4 linked regions of the Oryzias latipes genome follow. The protein of the gene in region 2 purifies or fractionates together with the protein of the main gene of each other region. This does not show direct contact. Links are inferred from orthologs where the notes say so. Each region holds a gene or a part of one and is shown on either strand. Other genes may lie near its edges. The genes, in order: vps41, plekhm1, vps33a and vps39.

What was found.
Region 1: the proteins of plekhm1 (region 2) and vps41 purify together in Homo sapiens (affinity purification with western blotting; 4 studies listed by BioGRID and IntAct, with this or other methods). This does not show direct contact. The link is inferred for Oryzias latipes from reciprocal best matches to the Homo sapiens genes PLEKHM1 and VPS41.
Region 3: the proteins of plekhm1 (region 2) and vps33a purify together in Homo sapiens (affinity purification with western blotting; 3 studies listed by BioGRID and IntAct, with this or other methods). This does not show direct contact. The link is inferred for Oryzias latipes from reciprocal best matches to the Homo sapiens genes PLEKHM1 and VPS33A.
Region 4: the proteins of plekhm1 (region 2) and vps39 purify together in Homo sapiens (co-immunoprecipitation; 3 studies listed by BioGRID and IntAct, with this or other methods). This does not show direct contact. The link is inferred for Oryzias latipes from reciprocal best matches to the Homo sapiens genes PLEKHM1 and VPS39.

Annotation. Positions count from the first base shown.
Region 1 is NC_019878.2:20,693,962-20,700,132, reverse strand, and holds the start of vps41 (vacuolar protein sorting-associated protein 41 homolog), read left to right. Parts: upstream 1-2,380; 5' UTR 2,381-2,563; coding exon 2,564-2,584; intron 2,585-2,827; coding exon 2,828-2,866; intron 2,867-6,171. UniProt on the Homo sapiens protein: Plays a role in vesicle-mediated protein trafficking to lysosomal compartments including the endocytic membrane transport and autophagic pathways. Acts as a component of the HOPS endosomal tethering complex.
Region 2 is NC_019877.2:16,180,984-16,186,491, forward strand, and holds the end of plekhm1 (pleckstrin homology domain-containing family M member 1), read left to right. Parts: intron 1-428; coding exon 429-574; intron 575-2,597; coding exon 2,598-2,791; intron 2,792-2,896; coding exon 2,897-2,960; intron 2,961-3,032; coding exon 3,033-3,190; intron 3,191-3,617; coding exon 3,618-3,726; 3' UTR 3,727-4,720; downstream 4,721-5,508. UniProt on the Homo sapiens protein: Acts as a multivalent adapter protein that regulates Rab7-dependent and HOPS complex-dependent fusion events in the endolysosomal system and couples autophagic and the endocytic trafficking pathways.
Region 3 is NC_019867.2:18,255,950-18,262,075, reverse strand, and holds the start of vps33a (vacuolar protein sorting-associated protein 33A), read right to left. Parts: upstream 4,126-6,126; 5' UTR 4,122-4,125; exon of another isoform or gene 3,949-4,121; intron 3,074-3,948; 5' UTR 3,028-3,073; coding exon 2,926-3,027; intron 2,686-2,925; coding exon 2,620-2,685; intron 2,530-2,619; coding exon 2,402-2,529; intron 2,288-2,401; coding exon 2,101-2,287; intron 1-2,100. Other genes in the region: rabphilin-3A, read left to right, coding at 4,126-4,206.
Region 4 is NC_019880.2:24,622,189-24,627,696, forward strand, and holds part of vps39 (vam6/Vps39-like protein), read right to left. Parts: intron 3,487-5,508; coding exon 3,366-3,486; intron 3,293-3,365; coding exon 3,166-3,292; intron 2,291-3,165; coding exon 2,148-2,290; intron 2,076-2,147; coding exon 1,935-2,075; intron 506-1,934; coding exon 364-505; intron 1-363. UniProt on the Homo sapiens protein: Regulator of TGF-beta/activin signaling, inhibiting SMAD3- and activating SMAD2-dependent transcription.

The sequences.
Region 1 (6,171 bases), on a different chromosome or scaffold from region 2:
TCTTGGGTTTGAACCCATGGCCTTCCAGTTACTGGGCAGACACTCTATAACCACAAGGCCACTGAGCTGGCCTACAATAAAAGAGTGGACTACGATAAAAAGTGATATAAATATTTTCTATACTTCGATGTAATATAGCAGTTTTGGAATTTGAAAGCTTCTTGACTTCGAATTTTTGAAACTCCTGTGTATTTTTTAAAAATTATGAGAATACAAGAGTAGATTAGCACAAGAGAACGCTATGTATAATCGTGCATATCATCACTACTTACTTAAATGTTATGCTAAAGGATATTCAATTACAGGTTTCATAAAAAATCCTTAAGATAAACTTAATGACTGATTAAAAGGTCACTACTGAGCATCTGCTACTACATCAATAAGCCTTTCATCCAACAGTCCAATACGGATAATCTCAAAGCAATGAAATGATGTATGTTTATTAATTAGTTGCACTGAGTGATCACCCTGAGATACGGATGTCTAATGTAGTTTGTTGGATAATAATTTGTCTCCCCCTTAGGGTTATAACTCAAACTGTTATCTTTCTAAAAGAAATAAATCATTTTCCTCATACGAAAGCATCACAAAATCCTATTTTCTTTTCAAATTATTCTACTCTTTTATGTGAAGCAGTAAATTTAGTGTAAGTAAATTTTTAAAAGTGAATGCAAGCTGAGGCAAAACTTAAAAAAGATATATATATTTTTTTCCCTGAGCTTGTTGATATGATCAACAGTCCTACCTCTCCTCTCTGCTAAAGCTAAAATGCTCCCCAGTGGACGGTCGGTGGGTCAGTGAGGGCTGAAGGCTATCAAAGCAGTGTATTAAAAGGAGCTCTTTGAAGCTTGTAAACCATGGTGCCCAGCAGCAGGTCCACAACAGACAAGAGCCTCTGATTGGTCAGGTGTGTGTGTGTTTTTGGCTAAATCGATCCACAGAGCTGACATTCTCAAGCATCAAAGCTTCTGGTGCACTAATCTTGCTCCACGTACGCAAGCAAGAGTTGTTTGTGTAATTTTGCCTTTTTTTTTTGTCTATGAGATGCTTATATCTTAGTGCAGCTCATGCTTGCTTAAGATTGTAGGGTTAGTGGACCGCGTTTTAATGGTTTCAAAGGGAATGGACACGTATAGAATTAAGCCCAAGCCGTATTTATCCACCACTAAATAATGCAGCACTATAAAGAGGGAAGTGTAGAGATGTGGAGAATCAGAGGCCTTCCGCTAGATGCACCATTGGCAGCAGAGTGACACCACAGAGATTCACACACAGCTGCTCCTCAAAGTCAGTTTCCCCCTTTCACCGTCTCTGGAGACCTGGACCACATACACACCAGTGAAAGGTGTGAAAATCTGATTTCCCAAAAAGGATCGGTAATTCTCTGTGAGGGTGGAAGCCGCAATCAATAAATCATTGGTAAGCAGATTGTAAAGAAAGAAAAAAAAGAGATCCCCGTTTGGTATCAGTGCATTAGGATTCTCCTGAGGATGAATGAAGCAGGACGGAGGTGTGAGACAATCTCAATAAAAAAGAAGGAACTCAAACCTTTGGAATCCATCTGAACTATGAAATGTCAGTATTGTGACAAAAGAGCGCACTTTAACGTTGAAAAAGTCTGCAAATGTACACAACAAATGAGTAGTTAGATTAAACGTGTATCGTCTTTTCCCTAGCTTTTAACAAAAGACCCCAAAACATCCTTAAAATGGATTAAGCAGAAATGGAAAGGTTTTTTTTAATGTAAAGCAATTTAACTGTCTTATATTTTTCAGTAATTTAATGTTAACCATTTAAAAAGCCATTTATTCCTTCCATATAAGGTAGGAGTACATGATGTGGCACATCTATTGAATGAAAAATGTCTCTATATTCCCTACTTTCCTGTATCCTCTGTTTCTCTTCGGAAAATAGGATATGAAATATGATATTTACTGTGTTTACTTATTGTTTTGTTCTTTTTTTTCCGCAACTACCAAATGGGCCAATGGGCTTGTGTCAAAAATGTGTTCTCATAAAAGCTTAAAGAATAAATTAAAATTATTTTTGACCTACATATAAGGCACAAAAAGCAATATAATATAATATAATACGACTACTTTTGCTTTTATAATTGTATATTAAACTATATTCCTAACACGTGTTTTGAGCTCGGACAGAACATTTTTATCCAGAACTCCTTTTTTTCAGTATTAGTAATTTTAAACTTATAAGGCTGACAATATTCGGTAACTGAGAACTTGAAACATATAAAACTATTTTAATGCTACCTACTTCAGCTGCACTCGTTTTGGCAGCAGACGTCTTCAACTCCTTGCTTGAAACAAACGCTGTTACGTTTGACTACAATACCCAGATTGCCTCGCGGTTTTTGCATTAGTCATGTGATTCAGTGATTCATGTGAGCAACAAGACTGCTCCGTCAGTAAACATCGCATTCTACTGCCTTATTATACGTGCTTTTGCCACAAACATAGTTTGTGTGCGTAATTTAATATGTGTTTCTGCAATTGACACTGATCAAAAACATCTGCTTTCGGAATTTATCGCTATTGGAACCATAATGGCGGAAGTGCAAGAAAAGGTGAGGATAGCATGCTAAAGCTAGCTAGCTTATGATCGTTTTATACGTGTTTTTTTTAAAGAATGACAAATGTTTTGTTAATATTTATGAGATTTTTATTCTGATTTTGATTGTTACCTACAATTCGTGTAAAATTTATTTTAACGAAGGTTTGGGGTTGTTTTAGTTTTAATGATCTTGTTATTTATTTTTCAAACTAGAGAATTTAAAGATCAAACATTTTGATTGTGATTCTTCTTTAAGGATAAAAAGCCAAGCGAGGAATGTACTGATGAGTCTGAGGTAAGAAGCTTAGAATTGTATTATTTTGTGCCGTTTTTTTTTCCTTATTTTATTTACTTAACTTAAACGCTGCTTCAATTTCCTGTTTTCTTCTTTTCTTTTTGTTTTTGTTTTTAACAACTTGAACGTGGAAGTATTTTTTAAGTGTTGCAAAGTTATAAAGAAGCTTACTTTAAGTTTATGGTAGACAAGCATTAGCTGCCAATCACAGCAGGACAGGACTACATTCTTTCCTTTTCATTTTAAGAATAGAAATAAATTAACACATTTCAGAGAAGGGCTGCTTTGAATCTTCAGAATTCTCACATAAAAAAGTTGGGTGAAAAACACATGTATAAATCTTTTAGAAAACAAAATGTCTATATTTTTGACATTCTTTTTGGAGGCTGTTTCAGGACAGAGTCCTCATTGTCATGTTCAAGAAACCAGTCTGAGATGATTCCACCTTTATGAAAGGGCGCCTTATCCTGCTGGAAGTAGCCATTGGAAGATGTAGTCATAAAGGCATGTACATGGTTAGCAACAATACTCAGCGTTGTGGCTTTGTATCCATGCTAGAATGGTACTGTGGGTCCAAAAAAAATATTCCCCACACCATTACACCACCACCAGCCATAACTGTTGATACAAGGCAGGATTGATTCCCGCTTTGACGCCAAATTCTGACCCTACCATCCAATTGTCGCCGCAGGAATGGAGAATTATTCAGCCCAGGCAACGTTTCTCCAATCTTCTAGTGTCACGTTTTGGTGAGCCTGTGTGAGTTGTAGCCTCAGACAGTTTCCTGTTCTTACCTGACATGAGTGAAACCCGGTGTGGTCTTCTGCTGCTGTAGCCCATCTGCCTCAAGGTTGGACGTGTTGTGTGTTCAGAGATGCTCTTCTGCAGACCTCAGTTGGAACCCTGTTGCCTTTCTATCAGCTAGAATCAGTCTGGCCATTCTCTTCTGACCTCTGGCACCAACAAGGCATTTCTGCCCACAGAACTGCTCACTGGATCTCTTTTTGTTTTTTTGGACCATTCTCTGTAAACCCTAGAGATAGTTGTGGGTAAAAATCCCAGAAGATCAGCAGTTTCTGAAATATTCAGACCAGCTTGTCTGGCACCAACCACCATGTCTTGTTCAAAGTCACTTAAATCCCCTTTCTTCCCAGTTTGGTTTAGACTGCAGCCATGTCTACATATGTCTAAATGCATTGATGTGCTGCCATGTGATTGGCTGATTTGCCGTTGGACAGATGTGCCTAAAAAAGTGGCCAGTGAGTGTATAGTAACATTTGTTACTGGTCCCAGCGCTGTTCAGGTTATTGACCAGTTCACCTTATATGTTGCATGTACAGTACTACAAGCAAATATATCTTTATTTAAAAAAAAACAAAATAAGGAAAAATTCTATAACACACCAGTTAAAGTCAAAAATATTTGGTTTGATTAAACTATTTTCTTTAAAATTCATTCAAAAAAATGCTCACACTCAGCATCCAGCTTTCTCTATAGAACTCACACCTTTAAGTATGTATTTACAACAAAAAACCTTTACAGATCAAAGCTTTTCCATTCACTTGCAAAATGAGGGGCAAATTACTTAAAAAGCAACTCCGGCTGGATGAAGCTCGTCTGCTGGACTTTATATATGTGGTTGTAGAGTTAGATAAGTTAATTCTTCTCTAAGAGTTCTGGTAAATCGCCTATCCGTCCTGGGGGAGGATCCCTCCTTCATGTGGGGACCCCTGAGGTTTCTCTGTTTTTTCCGGAATCCGTTTTTTTTAAGGAGTTTTTCCTAAAAGGTCTAAGGGCAGGGATGCCAGTATAGCTTAGTCAGTTTGTTAGTTCATTTTAGTATTTTCCTATTGAACTCTATGTATTTATGATCCTTTTGAGTTCATGTTTCACTTTTGCAATTACCGATACGGAGCCCATTGAGACGACTGTTGTTGTGAATTTGGGCTATACAAATAAAATTGAATTGAATTGAATAGAAAGGTTGGCAGTCATTATTAGAAAACTATTGAACTGAAGATGTTAACCTCATAGCTGAAGGGATTTTAATTTTCCTTTCAAATTGAATTAAGTCCTTTGTATCTTCTGAAGGATAGCCATCATGTATAACTCAAAGGCAGCTGCGTTAGTGTAGCATAATTTTCATTCGCGTTTGTTTTAAAAGCTTTTGTTGAAGTGGACATTCCTATTTTTCTTATCCTGCTAGATGGCGACAACCGGCGTCGTCTCTGTGCGCTCTGCAGAATGTTATCCTTGATGCAGTCCGACTGAATAGTTCAACCTGTTGTATTTAAACTGTCAATAGGCAAGAAAAATGGCATAAATGGCTTCAAGATAAAGGCCAGTGTGGCAGTGGAGAAAACAAAGGGCAACTTACAAGAGATGGGAAAAGTTTTAAAATGGGGATTTTCTCTGTGGGGATGAAGTTTGCCTTTGTTGTTTGATACGCCTTTGAAATCCGTGACAAATGCCCTCGCATCAGAAATCTCACAACCAGAATACACAGGAAATAGCCTAGATATGGCGTTGTTGAGTGGGAAAGGATTGTTTTTGAAAATAACATTTTTTCCACGCTATTGTCCCCCACCTCCAACCCAGTAGCACATAATGGCAGACAATGTTTTGAGTTGATGCACCCTCTGGGCAGCCACAGACTGTGCAGTATTGGTTATAAACCGAATTATGAGTAATATTCAGGCTGTGACTGGCTGCAAATGTTGACTCATGCTGGAAAGTGTAACACAGTAGAATACTTTAAGTTTGCTTTATGAAAACAATAAATTCACGCGTCTCACTGGGGATAAACGGCATTGAGAAAAGATGAAAAATTGTTGTTTTAGGCCTTTCATGCAAGGTAATGAAAATTTGTCCCTTTTTTGGGTATCTCCTACACATATACATGTAAACACTTCTCAAAATAGATTGGTTCTATGCAGAAATACTCTTTCTTGATACAATGACAGAACTCATTTTATTTAGCCAATAGCATATAAAGGTATGAATCCAAATAACACCAGATAATACCAGTTATTTTAATTAAAAAGGTATATTTAAGCTTTAAATGAACATAAAGGTCAGTAACACGCATGTACCATAGTATGAGCATCGTATTGTTTTAAGTTTACATTTTTTAACCAGTAGTCTTTCTCATAGTCTGTTTTCCCTTCTTATCTTTGCCTTCTACCTTTAGATTTTCCACTTTTTTTATGTTGTTTTAGGAGGTAAAAGGACAAAAAAATGTAGCAAAAATCCCCTTGAGAATATTATGGCATAGTATTTTAATAACAGGAATATTAAATAAGTAA
Region 2 (5,508 bases):
GCTGCCTTTCTGCCACCCGCCTGTCACTGGACTGCCACCCCACGACCACCAAATGTGCCAGGGAGGCCACTGACCAATACATAAAAAAAAAATCGTCCAGGTGCTGTGAAATTATAGCTTTTTCTTAAAAACTGTTGTAAGCCGGGAAAAAACTGTGACTGCCTCCTTCCGATTACAAATGCCGCCGCATGGCCACCTACCTGCCGAATTTGCTGAAAAACGTACATATGTCGCCACATGCTGGGATATGTGACCCTATTCTTTAAAAACTCTGAAACAGAACTTTGTGTTAGACATTCTGTCAGAGAAATGGGAAAATATCAGGAAACACATCAGAAAAAAAATGTAAAAGTTGTAAAGAGTTTCCGATCCCTTGCATGTGTTTATAGTGTTTGTTCAGGTGGATTTACTTTCTCCGTTATCCACAGACTGCTCTCAGCAGATCGGACCTTCGCTGGGCAGAGGCAGACTCTGCGAGTTCTCTGGTCAGTACTACTGCGACTCCTGCCACATTGGGGACACCAGCATCATACCATCGCGTATGCTGCACAACTGGGACCTCATTCCACGAGAGGTGATTGCAACACACTTATTATTTTACTGGTAAACATGGAGAGGAAAATCCAACCATCCATTTTCTGAACCCACTGGGTCCCTTCTGAAATAGTAAAGACCCACCCTCCAATCAATTTGGAGGGTGAGTCTTTACTATTTTGATCTGACCAGATTGATCAGTTTAAAAGCATTCCCACAGATTTTCAACTCCCTCCAAAGATTTTCTATGGGGCTGAGATGTGGAGACTAACTGGGCCACGCCAGGACCTTGAAATGCTTCTTACGAAGCCACTCCTTTGTTTCCCATGCAGTGTGTTTGGGATCGTTGTCAATTTGAAAGACCCAGCCATGTTTCATCTTCAATGCTGATGGAAGGAATTATTCACTCAAAATCTGATTATACATGGATCAGTCATCCTGTTCCCTTTGCTGAAAAACAGCCCCAAAGCAGGATGTTTCCATCTCCATCCTTTACAGTAGGGATGGTGTTCTTTGGATGCAACTCAGCATTCCTTATCCTCCAAACATGACAAGTAGAATTCTTACCAAAAAGTTCTGTTTTGGTTTCATCTGACGATAGGACATTCTCCCAAGTCTTTTCTGGATCATCCAAATGCTCTCTAGCAAATGTTAGACGGGCCTGCACAAGTACTGGCTTTAGCAGGGGGACACAGCTTGCACTGCAGGATTTGAGTCCCTGGCGCTGTAGTATGTTATTGGTGGTAGCCTTTATTACTGTGGTCCCTGGTCCCAGCTCTCTGCAGGTAAATCACTATGTCCCCCCGTGTGGTTCTGGGACTTTTGCTCCCCGTTTTTGTGATCATTTTGACCCCACGGGGGGAGATGCTGTGGGAAGCCCCAGATTGAGTTTTTAGTGATCTTATTAGTCTTCCTTTTCCTTTTAATTGCTCCCACAATTGATCTCTTCACACCAAGCTGCTTACTAGGGATGTCCCGTTTGACGTTCAGCGTGTTTCGGCACAATGTTTTGGGGTGTGTGTCAACTAGCGCCGATCACGTGGTTGATGACGTATGAAGCGCCAAATGCTTCGTTTGGTCGAACCACGGTTCAGATGTCTCTTACGTTTTGAACAGTTGGGCGCGCTATTCTCTAGAAATACAAATGAATCCCGAATGTTTCCCGACAAGTTCTATTGTTTCCCCAAGATTGGAATCAGTGTCAGTTCATTGCACTTTATCATGGCTCCTTGTAAATAACGTACTGTGGCTCGGGATCATTTCAACTCGATTTCTCCGAATATAACAATACACTATGATCATTGTGTATATAAAAATACTTCATTAAATCTATAATGGCAAGCTGAATTTGTGTCAGTAGAGATGGCTCAGGGGAACATTCGGTGGGGAATGCATCCAAGGGTCCTGAGTTCAAGACCGGTGTTTGACAATTTAATTTTTTATATTTTTTTGCTTTGCGTTTATTTTCTTCATGTGATGTGTATTTTGCTGTGTCAAGCACCTCACAGAAAACATCAAATGTTGTGTTGTTTTACGTTGTTTTTTTTCTAATCATCATTAACAACATTGTTTTGATTTACGTTTTTTCATCATTTCCACATTGAAGTGTTACAAGGAGCTTAGTTGAAACATATGTCTATGTACGTCCAGTCCGCCACCAGATGCCGCTGTTCTGTGTAGTTTCAAAGCCCTGAATCGGTGGTTCATTTTTCCAGCACAATTACATGAACCCCAAGGGAAGCTTCATGGGGCTTCAATTCCCATCCCTATTGCTTACCTATTGCAGATTCAGTCCTCCCAGCCTGGTGCAGGTCAACAATTTGGTTTTTGGTGTCCTTAGACAGCATGGTCTTGACCATAGCAGAGTTTGGAGTGTGACAGGTGTCTTTTATATACATAATGAGTTCAAACAGGTGCCATTAATACAGGGGGACTGGGGGACAGAGAAACCTCTTACAGAAGAAGTTAAAACACAGAAAACACAATTTTCATTGGAGTTGGGGTTGACTTTGCTGAACAGAAGACATATTACTGGTTTAATCTAAAATGTTGTTTTTGTTCAGGTGTCAAAGAGAGCCATGCGTGTTCTGACCCACATACATCATGAGCCTCTGCTGAACCTGGAGCTGCTAAACCCTGAGCTGGTGAAGCATTCAGAGTCCATGGCACAGGTCCACAACCTGCGCAACAGGTTGCGTCTGCTGGGTGATTATCTGCTCACCTGCCGCAGTGGAGCATACAAACATCTCCAAGACAGGTGGGTCTTTACTATTTTGATCTGACCAGATTGGGTTCAGCATTGGATTTTTTATTTTTTTTACCTGTAGTGTCAGTCCACATTTGTTTTGTTTTTTCTCTTCAGAACGGAGCAGCGCACATACCTGTTCGAGTCAAGTCACCTGTACAGTATCATGGATCTACGACAGGTAGTTAGGCTGCACCAACAAGTGCCAATAGGGCAACACTTGAAGGCTTTAACCTTTTTCTTTTCCTCCTAGATTGCAGAAGGCTACTATTCAAGCTTTCTGATCATGCTGGTGCAGCATGCCACTAAGCATGTGCTCAACTGTGACCTGTGCTCTCAGCGGGGCTTCATTTGCCAGATTTGTCACTCTGATGATATCCTCTTCCCCTTCCAGTTCGAAAGCACCTTGAGGTATGATAATCTGATCATTTTATCTTTTCTCATCATTTTATAATTCTGGTCCAAACTACAGATTAAACATAGATGGAGAACATGTTAGATATGGTGAAATGAGGGTTTTCTTTGAAGAATGTTCTGTAGCATGATCCATGAAATGACATTGATCCACATTTCCCTTAAAACCATTAACAAAACACCCGATGTGCTAAAATCATGAACTGAAACTGTATTTTACTTAAAATAACCATCCAAAACTTTAGTTGACAGGCTTTTTTCAATGTCCTGGAGTGTCTGCTGTTTTTTACCATAAATCATAAGTTGTTCTTAGACATTTTTATTTTTATAAAGTTTGATTCTTTACTTTTATAACAGTGAGAAAAGGATTGTTTTTGTGTTTTTGCTGTGAGTCATGCAATTTCCCTTATTCTTTTTTAATCAGGTGTAAAGATTGTAAAGCTGTATTCCACACCGCCTGCAAATCTGCGGGCCGCTCCTGTCCTCGCTGTCAGCGAATGAAGAAATACCTGGAGAGGGATCTGCAGGACTGAGAGCTCCAGCTCTTTAGCTGATGTGAAATCAGTTCCTGGCTTTAAAAAATAAAAATAAAAATCCATACACCTATTTAACCTAAAGTGCAATTATTAGTCCAATCAGCCTGCCCTGCCTGAAAAACATCAACTACGGCTCGAAAGCCTGAGTGCCACAGTAGCTCAGACCTTTGCACTAATTTAGAAGGAAACATTCTGATATAATGCAGCCAAAAGTTGCTAACAAGTGATGTTATTGCTTCAGTAACATCTGATTTAGCCACGGCTTCCAAACAAAGGGGGGACAAAGGCAAGCATGAACTTAATTTAAAACTTTTTGTACTTCATTTGGTGTCAAACAACACTCTACAAAAGCTCTATGATTGAGATTGTGCCTTTTTGATTTTTAGCTTTACTGTATTGTCTCATATGTCACAGTTGTTGGTTTAAAATGAAATGTAGCATTATTTGTTTTGTGGAATTATGATTTCGTGAATGTTTGGAATTGGGTATTGACACAGGAGAATAAATACTTTTCTCCTTGTGTCCTGCAGCATGATCCATGTAATTCTTGTGGTGCACTAACTGGGAACTTAAGTTCAGATAAATTAAAAACAAGATGTCTAAAACGTATTGGAAATATACAATTGGGAGTATTTGCAATGTTCAGCTCAAAGGAAGTAACACATTTTGCATATTTGCACTTGGTTCTGACTGTTAAATGAATGCTTCTGCCAGAATACATTTTAGCACATGATTCTAACTTGAAGAGAAGCTATTTGGTTTTCTGGTGGAAGACTTTTGTGCATCACTTTTTCCTTTATCTTGACAAATTTAAAAGGAATATAAATAATATCAATACATTTCTGGTCAAGGTGCCAAGAATAAAATTCTCTACATGTTTACTAAAAAAAAATCCTGAACATATTAAATTCAAGGGAAAAATCCTGAAATGCTGTTATATCTGGTTTGTATTTATTTAACTTCATCCTATTCATAAACTATTGTAAATTAAGTATGTTTGTGTTGTTTTGTTTTTTTCTTGTAGACAGAACTCCACTGCTGCTATCTCCATGAAATTGGATAAGACAGACTGTTGTATTAAAGTATAGCAACTCAAAACTGCTAGCAACACTTGAATAGAGCTAACAATGAAAGAATTATTGTATAAGTTTTCCAAATTGATAAATCAATAAGGTTTTTATTTTTCCTTCTAATAAATGTCAATACACTGAATCTTTTTTTTAAGAATTTGTAAATATCTAATACAACAAACTTTTGTTATAAATTTTAACATGAACAATTTTCAAGGTTACCATAGTAGAACCTTGTTTCTCGTTAAAAATCAAAAATTCTAGTGAATTAATGTCATAAAAATCCAGATTTTTGGAGATTCAAAATCTATTTTCAACCCAAACTCATACTTTCATATTATGGACTCCTAAACAGTTAATATTTAAATAAATAAATATGACCCTGTGCAAATACACAATCAACCAATATATCTCTCATAAATATATAAAAAAGGTCTTATAAAAAATCCCCCCCCTCCCAGAAAATGCCTCCTTGATCCTAGTAAAACATAGAGTAGTATGAAGGATACATACTGTTATGAATGGCTTAAAAGATTAAAGTTCAAATAATTATTGAAAAATAATGTACAACAAATGTGAACATATTTGACCGTCAACAATTTTCATGACATTACAAATAAAATAAAAAATGAAAACTTAAAAACTCTTCCAGTTTTAGTCATTAAAAAGTAACATTTTTGCAAACAGTATTGTAATTAAGTTTTTCTGT
Region 3 (6,126 bases), on a different chromosome or scaffold from region 2:
GCCTAACATTACCAGTGCAACAAAAAAGAGGAGGAATATTGGACTTGTCCAGCCGTACAGTTTTCAGCCAAATGCCAGCTCAGGCGAGGAAAACAAAAGACGTACACAGACCTTTTTGTCTGCAAGTGCATGCATCAGAATGGAGTGGAGAAGGGAGATTTTGGACTTACAAATGTAGTTTGTATGTAATAACTACAAGCTTTATTTAATTTAATTACTATACAGCATTATTTTGTCTCCTCCTGAGTAAAGAAATCCTTAAACACAGTTTAATATTAATTTTCTTTATATATGTCCTCCAGTACGAGCAAAATACTACAAGATCATATCAAAAACACCAAAAACAAATTTCATTGGAGTGGGTCTTTAAAGCTGATCCTGTTGTGCATCAGTCCTTCACCATGCCGGTGCTACTTTAATGACACAAGTCAACCTAAACCACCAGAAAGAGGTGTTTCCACTTTTGTTGCTGCATATAATGTAGTGCACTGCTTAACCCTTGTGTGGTGTTCATATTGTTGTTACTCAGCCAGTGTTCGTGGGTCTGGTGGACCCGTTGCATGTTGTGGTTTTTAATGCCTCACAATCAAACACTTTGATGTTAAAATACTCGAAGGATGTTTACCTCATCCAATTACAATCAGTATATTTGGTTAATATTTGCCTTTTACCTTTGTTAGATCACATTCATAACTCATTTAAAACGTGATAAAGAAAATCAATTAAAATCAAGATATGAGTGGAAACAAATTTTCAAGTGAAGCAAGGGTTTTCAAAACTACTGACTTTTATTTATTTGAACACAGAAACTGAACCCATTCAGGTGCACAACACAAGCTGAACACATAGAGTAAACCTATTAGTCAAGACAACACATCAGCCCCATTGAAGACATGGCCTTCTAGCCACTAGCCTGTACAACACATGGTCCTGGCTGCTGACGGCCTGGTCCTGTGGCTGGGTGCTGATGGCTTCGTTTTGGAACTGGCTGATGCTCAATCTAAATGGTAAATGGTAAATTGCGTATACTTATATAGCGCCTTTCTTCCTCCAAGGACAAAGCGCTTTACAGTCACAGACCCATTCACCCAGTCACACACACGTGGCGGCTCCGCTGCCAAGCACAGGCGCCCGCCTACCACCAGAGGCAAGGTGGGGTTCAGTGTCTTGCCCAAGGACACTTCGACTCATGGGTGTGCAAGGCGGGAATTGAACCTGCAATCTTACGATCATGGGCCTACCGCCCTACCGCTGCTCCACGGCCGCCCCAATCTAATCATCTTCTTCAGAGTCACTGTCAGACTCTGAATTTTCAGAAATGTGATCCTCTAATTCTGAAACCTCCTCTTCTGAATCGTCTCCCTATACATCATCATCAAAAACGTCTCTCTCTTCTAAAATCAATTCCAGGGCCCTCTGCGCAGAAAGTCTATTGGCCATTTTGATCAGTTGTGATGAGAAACCACACTGGCAAAGCTATATTTAACGTGTCCCGCCTCCAATTTGTAGCAGATAACGAGCGAGATATTAAAGATTCCCGCAAGAAAGTCAAATGGTCAAATGTGCGGGAGAACGAGAGCAAACAGAGTTGATGCTTGAATTATTCTAACAATGTTGCAACCTTTAGCAGGAACCGCAGGTGCAGAAACAGAACTCACATTTACAGTGAATCTTTCTCTCTCTGCCACTCTCTCTCTCTCTTTCTCACTGGTCACACACACACACACACACACACACACACACACACACACACACACACACACACACACCTACACACACCCCCACACACACCCACACACACACAGCAGGCCCAGACAGGTGGAGGACAGAGTGTAGGTACATAAAACATCAATTTCCACACCTCTATTGGCCCCGGGTCCAGTGGACCCGAACATCTTATATGTAATAGAAATGTGTTGGGGGGGTATACAGTGTGTTGTCATTAAAAATGTATTCTAATATATGTTCTTCACAGAAAATGAGCCAAGGCCAGTGAGTCTGAGTTTGAAAAATTAATTACGGTAATTGTATCATTTTTCTTTTGATAAAAAATGAAAACGGGTCCCACAGACCCGAACACCACATAAGGGTTAAACTCACCCTGAAAGCACTTTCATACTCCATGGACAGCAGATCCCCATCATAGGGAATCAGGTCCAGGATATACTCATCCATGTTGATAAAAGAACCTAGCACGCCTTGGTCCTTCAGTCTCTGCTCACAGAGCATGCTCCTCCGAGGCACAAACAAAATGTGAAAGTCTCTGGATGAATGCAGTCTGTCCTCACTGAAAAGAGCACAATCCAGAACAATCCTCAGAACGCACAAGCGAAAGGAGGAAGTGGGGATCTTGTCCAGTTTGGTTACTTTGTGGAGCGTAATGATGAAACTCATGACATACCTCTGAACATTCTTTGCAATTATGTCCATCAACTCCAGCCTGGGACGGACGAAGAAGATTATGTTCTTCACATCAGCATTGGGAAGTTTCCCACTCTTGAGGGTGAACATCTTTTCCACCTCATGTTCCTAAAGAAATAGCAGGAAAAAAGACAAGAGCTGTTAAAAACACCCACATTAGATCATTCTATCCAAAACGTTTGCTGAGACCGTCCTTACCTTTAGAAGAGAGTACTGAGCTATGAGTCCAAAAGGCCCAGTAAGATACTCATCCCAAACTATGGCCTAAAGAACATATAATTATAACTCTAACATCACACACGTAATACATTCAATTGCAAATATATAAATGATAGATTATTCAACTCAAGATAGGCATACAAAGCATGTATTATATATTTTATGTATTGGCTAAACTGAAATTATCATTTTGATGAAAACGTTTAAGCTGTGATTGAAAGAAGATAATTCGATACAAATACAGTAGTTTAAGGTCATGCAATGCGCAATAAGTCGACTTCTTACTTTGCTTCCTGCACACTTGTCCAGAAATTCCCGCAGGTCTTTCCTCGCAGCTTCCCTTAAAATGTTTAAATTCACTTTTCCGTAAGACAGATGAGCAGCCATCTTTCCTCATCAGCAACAAGTCAGGTGACCCATTCCGGAAGGAAGACTGGATCACGTGACAAAAGAGGTTACGGTGACAAGAGAATTCTGACTAAAAACAATGGAAACGAACAAAAATAAGTCACATAATTAAAAAACGAAAAAGGAGAGAAAATAATTAAACAAAAAATACATTTTGTGGAATATTAACACATAGACATAGTGCTACAACGACTTAATATATTTAAATAAACGAAACAGGAAATGGTTTAGCCCAAGTCGTTGGCCATCTTTTACTACATTTAGGTGGGGCAGTGTGCATCGAAACCTGATTAAAATGTTGACTCGACAGATTTAAACGCCACATTTTGAAATGTGGCGTTTCTTTACGATATTTGTCATTTTTTAAATTATAATGTAATGAAATAAGCGTCGGAGAAAACAATAGAAGATAGATTCAAGTGTTTCTGTGAACAAATGGACAACAAAGCCGTTAGATGGCGCTGTGTCTCCGACATAGCAAAGCACCCAAATGCAGCTCCAATCGAGCGCAGCCCGCTATTATGTGAGAATTTGTCTCGGGTACCTGCCCTGTTTATAAATGAAAAACAAAGAAATATTGTATTTTTGTTCGCACAGAGAGCAAACAGCCCATATTTTTTATATCACATGGAACATGATAATGTTCATTGACAAGAAGAAAGTGTCTAAGCTTTTAGTGATAATAGTGTTTAATATGCAATTTAATCGAAAAGTAAACAAATACAAAGACACCAATATTATTCTTTAGAAAAAATTAGGTTAAAAAAACGACCACAAAAAACTAATCATTCTAGGTTTGCCTTCACAAGGCTGCCTGGGTGGAGATAAATTTAGGTTCTATAGACAACTGGATCAGGTGATAACAGCCCACTTGTTATTACTTCAGATCGAGGGGTTTCCTTCCCACGGCACCAAGGGCTTTCCATCTTCCACGCAGGATGGAAGAGCAGTTTCCACGCATCGTATAGTGATCCGCTGCGCTCTGTGCTCTGATAGCCCCTCCAGACCCACAAAAAAAAGAAGGGAAAAAAGACGCGATTTGGTGACAGGCACGACCATGCGCAATGACTTACTTTGATGAGATTCAGCAGGCGCTGCACAAACTCCGCATCTTTTTCTAACAGCATCCAGAGAGAGAAAAAGGGACTGGATCCTCTGGTAGGGTTTCCGATCTTCTTTTTGCCCCCCTTCAAACACCGTATCTACATACTAAAATTGCTTTGAGGTTGATGCGTTTGCCCGGTGAGTCAGTGCATGATTATAATATTTTTTTCCCCCTCCACATACAAGTTGAATGAATGCAGCCCTTCATTCAGGAGAGAAGCCCCGTGGATCATCTCTTTGGAGGGAACGTACCTCACAGCCCGTATTTATTTGGTGGAGCACATTTTTATTGTCTTCATCAGCCAGTTACTGATTTGACTGAGAAGGGAAGGTTAGTCTGCATGTGCACAGCCAGAAGAAGCTGATCAACTACTAATGCGTTTGATTGTTGTAAAAGCCCCACTAAAAGCAGTCATTCAGTGGTGGTGAGTCATGCATTTTAGAAAGGTTGCATGGTTTTTCTATCATGGTTCAAGTCTCGAATGATCAATTATTGTAACCCCTGATGGTGTGGCGAATCTTTAAATCCCCTTCAAGGCTTGTTGGACATGGGATATAAAGAAGAAAACCTGGTCAGTTGTTTGGAGGATTGTGTGGCTGCAGTCTCATGGCTTTGCTGCAGGGGAACATGATGGAGCTTGATTCACATACAGATTATGATGTAAAGACATTAGTGATGCCTAAAGATTCTGGTGTGGGCAGGGCAGCCCTCTAGCCCAGCTCTGCCATTGCACAGACAATTCAGTGGTCAACTTGTGATGTTATCAAGTCTTCTTGCACTAAAGGGTATCAGTGGACCAAATCCGTTTGCTACATATGTACATGTATAGGGAATTTTGTTGAGGGGTAGCAAAAAAAAAAAAACTCCAACAACCTTAGGTTCATTAAATCCCTCTGCAGACCTGAGAGATGGGAATTCAGCTGAGACAGAATGAAGTGTAACATCTAGAGCTGTGCCTCTCAAGAAAGCAACCACGTTAAAGTGACTGGACGACACCCTCATTCTGCCACCCCCCCCCCCCCTTTTTTGTCTCTGGATTTCTTTGTGCAAATGAATAAAATGGTTGTTAGGTCTGAACACACAAAGCCTTAGAAGAAACATGGTTGCTGACAGAAAACGTGGAAAAAACATGGAGGAATAAAGTAAGTGCTTTTCACACTGACTGCATTATTTAATGCTAGGCAACCATACCCATAATCCCAGGTCTTTTGCCATTCTTCCTCTCAAAGCATACTGGCTTTTCAACTATGTGAGCAGCAACGCTGACCTGGTCCGCATATGCTCACACAAAGTGTTTGATCACTTAAATTCTTAGCTATTGATTGTTCTGTTTCCATGGCCACAGATGTCAAAGGTGCACATCTCCGTGTTCATTTGTATTCCTCATAATCCGGGCATGGAGGTTTAAACTTGGACTCGGTAAATCTGCAGGTGTTTCTGATAAAATTCTGCTCCACAGTCAGATTGTGTTTGCTGTGACAGAGCTTTAATGGAAGGGAGTGGCTTTATCCTGAAATGATCAAGGAGGAGAATTGTTTCTCAAGGCTCTCTAAAACTGGTGATTAGGGCTGCCTAAGCAGTGTGGCATATTGGAAAAGACAAAGGTAATTAATGCAGCGTTTTAACAAAATTCCCAATAAAGGGAACATAGTTAAAATTCAAAAACAGAACCCTGATGTATTGAGAAAACCCTACTCTCTCTAAAAGATTCATTTCTTTAGTTTCATGCATGTCTTTTTAGGTAATGATAATTACCTCTGTGCATTTGTTTTGGCCACACTAAAGCTTTGGAGTAATTACCCAAATCTTACTGCATCTAAAAATCTTATTGATGGACCTTCAAACGGATTTTTATTACAAGCTAAGCCCTTTTTCAGCATGTTGCGCTTTGTGGAGCAGACACGTCTGCCAACTGCAGTGTCCTAAAAACACCCAAGGGTGTTGTACATGCCGCTTTATCAGAAGCACAAAAG
Region 4 (5,508 bases), on a different chromosome or scaffold from region 2:
TGATCTGCATCCAGATGCTGATCAAACATCTGGATCTACACTCTTTACATTCAGCTCCTTCTTTTCTCTTTAATGAGTCTACAACACATCTGCATGAACGCAGGACAAACTGCACATCTGCAGTGGCGTTTCTGTGTCGGATCCAGCCAATCACGTCTGCTCTGCAGGTTTTGAGACTCTGTCACATCTAAACATCGCTGCACGTTCTCTGTGGAGCACTGAGGGTCTGGAGGAGGAGGAACTCGGGTTTTTAACCCTTTTCCTGCGTCTGTCTGCCTCCCTCATGACTCCTCCCTTCGTTGCCTCAGTGACGCAGAGAAACCAACTCCAGACAGGAGAAGCGGCTTCCAGCGGCGCTCTGACCTTTCCGGTGCAGGCCCTTCTTCTCGTACAGAATGATCAGCTCGCTGTACTTGTGCGCCTTCTTCAGGATGTACTCGCTCTCCTCGATGTGGCAGTGGTTGTTCTCCAAGCGCAGCAGGGGGGAGACGAGGGCCACGTTGGTCTAAGCGAGGAAGGACAACATCAAAGGTTTATTTTCGTCATCATCGGCGCTGAGATTCTCCTACAACATTCTTCATTGGTTTAAAAGCACAATTTAAAAAATGACTCATTTCTTCACAAATCTTTTCCATTCAAAGCAAATGGTTTTCCAAAATGCCTCCTGTTTATCCCTTTGACAGCGAAGCTTTAGCTGCAGTGTTTCTACCCTTTCCACTGCCGTAAATCTACAACCGTTTACTTCACGTGATTCCAGCGGATTCTAAAGCCGTAAAGCGGATTCGCTTTGCGTCAGTGAAGTGTTTCCACAATCAATCAGCTGCTCCTGCTGCAGAAAAAGCAGCTTTGCATCGTCACACGACACAATACTAACATAAAGTGTCTGAAATGTAAAGCTGCGTTTGTCTGCGCCTGAATCAGCTGCTCGGTTGAGGAGTCAAAGATGGTGTGTTATTCAGGTGTCACTCGCCAGCTACATCTACAGTGTTTAGGGTCAAAATCTCAGACTGCAGTGACTCGGCCGGGCCACAGGGGGCAGTGAGGAGCAGCATGGGGGGTAATGTCAACATTTTTTGATGCAATTCTTGTGTGTTTTGTTGCGCAACAGCAAGAGTTCATCCCCCCGCCTCTGCCTGTGAAAGACAATAGTGGCCGACAGGCTCTGCAGTGGATGCAGTTTATTTTTTAGTTACTATTAAGTTTGTGCGTATGAATAAAATTGATAAAATGATTCAAAAATCTTTCCTAATGTAGCATAATTTTGCACATGTTTTTAACTTTTGATACTTGATGAAATTTTGCTATGAAAACTCCTGAAACAGTGTTGTGTCTATTTTACTGGTATAGTATTATGTTTTAAAGCATATGAATGACTTTTAAAAGTAACATAATTTGCATATATTTCAGATGCTGCATTTGCCATGTTGATTTCTAAAGTTATTTTTGACGTAGTACTTAAGTAATTTCATCTTTGGCATCTGCTTTATTGATACCTTATGATTATTAATTCTGTCTGATAAAACCTAGGAACCGGATATTGATAAATCATGTAATAAAATGGTTATAGTATAACGGGGTGGGATTATATAAGTTCGCTTCTTTCCACTCCCTTTCAAGCAATTTTTATTAATTATGTCTAATTATCCTAAGTTTGATTAGTTACTGTATGAATGTATAACTGATGATTATATTGCTTTTGTGTGTATTACTCCTATTTGATTGCTTGAAATAAACCATTTCAAATCAAATCAAATCAAAATGTTTCACATTTCTGTTTGTACCAAGCAGCGTAAGCATGGATCTGTATGTTTGTGTGTGTGTGGATAATGGTGGGGTGGGGGGTGTTGGGGGCGGAGCTTCTCCCAACAGTTAGGGCCGGTAGCCTTAAAATGACTCATCTCAGGTCAACTGTGAACCAAAGACGTGTCCCTCACATGCAAGTAACACTTCAGTAGGGTGGTGTCAATGATCTGCAGCAGCTTTTTGCGGCTTTTGATGGTGGGCGTGCCCTCCATGAGCGGCGACGTGGTGGACGGGTCGGAGTCGTTCAGCTGCTTGACCAGGTGACTTCGTTTCTGCAGCAGAGAGGTTGGGATGTCAGAGGGTGGTGTCACGCGGCCGTTTTCAGGAGGTGGACGGATTCGCACCTGCGTGAGGTAATCGATCAGAGCCAGGTGAGCCTTCTCCAGCTCCGGCCCGGAAAGGCTGGGGACCGGGTTGGGGTAGTGCAGCTGCCGGCGGTAATCAGACGGCAGTAACTCTGGGTACAGTCCGATCACATGGGTGGGATCTGCCAAACGAGGAGAGGATTTCTACAACACACCTCACGGAGCATTTTAAGAACAAGAACAAAACATTTCCCCAAAAAGTAAACGAGAAAATGTTAGATCAGTTAAAAAAATATTTAATAAACCCTCAAAGACTGAAGTGTGCTTAAAGCCTGCAGACTCACTGGTTTAGTGTAAAACTGTCCTGGCTCACCAGGAAGAAAAGAACTTTTCATTGTCCTTTTAAATAAATTCTCCTTTTAGTTTGGTGGGGCGTGGCTGCAGGGCTTGATTACAAAGAAAAGCAGAATCTGGAGCAGCAGAGCTAAAGATCTCTCATCATATATCAGATTTTGTCTCATCAAACTTCTTCTCCTTTAGGTTGAGCTGAGGGCAGAGACTGGACCCCCGTGGTGGTCCCTGCAGACGCCTTTGCTTCAGTTTATTGACTTTGTGGGACGTTTTTTTGGTGTTGGGGTGATAAAGAGGCGAATGCTCCAATGTCAGTAAAGTTTAGAGAAGAAGAGAAACTCTGAAGAACAGCTGTGCTGTTCTTCAGAGTTTCTCTTCTTCTCTAAACTTTAGCTTCTGCTTTACTAACATTGCAGCATCACCTCTTTTCTTTGCTGCTCTAACCCTTGTGCTATCCTGGACACTTTAACATTGGGAGTTGGGTCATCTAGACCCACTGGACAGTGCTCTGAACCTTTTTTCTTCAATGATTTGTGATCTTCACTGGTGTCCATGGATTACATGAAATCTTTCCACCTTTATCCACCTTTGTCATGGTAGGGAGAACACGTCAATGTAAGGGGGGGGGGGGGGGGTCATTTTGACCCCACAAGATAGCACAAGGGCTATTCTACTAGTCACTCCAGGACCCAAACATCCATCCTACCTGTGCCGAGTTTGGCAAACACCTGCATGGACTCGTCGAATCTTTTCTGGCAAAACAGGTTGAAGGCGTAAAGATTCTGGATGTGATGAATCTGCTGCTTCTTGTCTCCGTCAGAGTCGTCCTTCATCTTTCGACAACAGAAACAAAGAATGAACCGGAACATCCTGTTTGAAGATACGATGTCTGGATCGGGATCTCACCGCCAGCTGGAGAGCCAGCTCAAACTGCTTGTCCTGAAGAAGCTGCCGGATCTGGTTGGCTATCGGCACGGGAACCAGACGCCACACGAAGTGGTTGCTGGCTACATACACAACGTTGGGTCTAAAGAGATGAAACGACAGGCTGAGAACTGTTCTGACGAAGAAAAGTCTTACTCTGAAGGAACAAACATCAACAGGATTCAAAATAGTAAGAAAAATAACTAATTGGATTCCTAAAACTGAAAATAAAACCTAAACATTCGATGCCTGTTTACATATCACTACAGCAGGGGGGGGGGTCAAACTCACTGAGGGCCACATCAGCATAGTGTCTGTCCTGAAAGGGCCAGATATAATTTATACATGTAACTAAATGTAGTGAATAATAAATATACCCACTCCTTAATGTTAAATAACTAATTATTTATTTATTATAACTTTTTAAAGTGACAATTACAGTTGCATATAAAACATATGTTTGCTTGTTACTCAGTGTTTAAGCCCAATCCGATATTTCAAGTCAGATTCCCCCTGGATATGAAGAAATACACACCAATTTTTATTTTTTATTTTAAGAGATTACAAACTTTTATGCTGTCGTGGGCCACATAAAATGACATGGAGGGCCACATTTGGCCTGCAGGCCTTGAGTTTGACACCTGCACTACAGGGTCCACTCTGGGGTACAGCTACAAAATATCTGTGTAATCTGTAAGCTTTTAATGCCAATATAAAATTTAGCTCAAGTAAACTAAAGGACAACAAGAACATAAGCAGTCAAAAGGAGCTCCAACGACCCATAAGAGCCCCAACAACCAGCAGGAGCCCCAACGACCCGCAGGAGCCCCAACGACCCGCAAGAGCCCCAACAACCAGCAGGAGCCCCAACGACCCGCAGGAGCCCCAACGACCCGCAAGAGCCCCAACAACCAGCAGGAGCCCCAACGACCAGCAGGAGCCCCAACGACCCGCAGGAGCCCCAACGACCCGCAGGAGCCCCAACGACCAGCTGGAGCCCCAACGACCAGCTGGAGCCCCAACGACCCGCAGGAGCCCCAACGACCCGCAAGAGCCCCAACGACCCGCAAGAGCCCCAACGACCCGCAAGAGCCCCAACGACCAGCAGGAGCCCCAACGACCAGCAGGAGCCCCAACGACCAGCAGGAGCCCCAACGACCCGCAGGAGCCCCAACGACCAGCAGGAACCCCAACGACCCGCAAGAGCCCCAAAGACCCGCAAGAGCCCCAACAACCAGCAGGAGCCCCAACGACCAGCAGGAGCCCCAACGACCCGTAAGAGCCCCAACGACCCGCAGGAGCCCCAACGACCAGCAGGAGCCCCAACGACCAGCAGGAGCCCCAACGACCCGCAGGAGCCCCAACGACCCGCAAGAGCCCCAACGACCCGCAAGAGCCCCAACAACCAGCAGGAGCCCCAACGACCAGCAGGAGCCCCAACGACCAGCAGGAGCCCCAACGACCAGCAGGAGCCCCAACGACCCGCAGGAGCCCCAACGACCAGCAGGAACCCCAACGACCCGCAAGAGCCCCAAAGACCCGCAAGAGCCCCAACAACCAGCAGGAGCCCCAACGACCAGCAGGAGCCCCAACGACCCGTAAGAGCCCCAACGACCCGCAGGAGCCCCAACGACCAGCAGGAGCCCCAACGACCCGTAAGAGCCCCAACGACCCGTAAGAGCTCCAACGACCCGTAAGAGCCCCAAAGACCAGCAGGAGCCCCAACGACCAGCAGGAGCCCCAACGACCCGCAAGAGCCCCAACAACCAGCAGGAGCCCCAACGACCAGCAGGAGCCCCAATGACCCGTAAGAGCCCCAACGACCCGCAGGAGCCCCAACGACCAGCAGGAGCCCCAACGACCCGCAGGAGCCCCAACGACCCGCAAGAGCTCCAACGACCCGTAAGAGCCCCAAAGACCAGCAGGAGCCCCAACGACCAGCAGGAGCCCCAACGACCCGTAAGAGCCCCAACGACCAGCAGGAGCCCCAACGACCCGCAGGAGCCCCAACGACCCGCAGGAGCCCCAACGACCCGCAGGAGCCCCAACGACCCGCAAGAGCCCCAACGACCCGTAAGAGCCCCAACGACCAGCAGGAGCCCCAACGACCAGCAGGAGCCCCAAC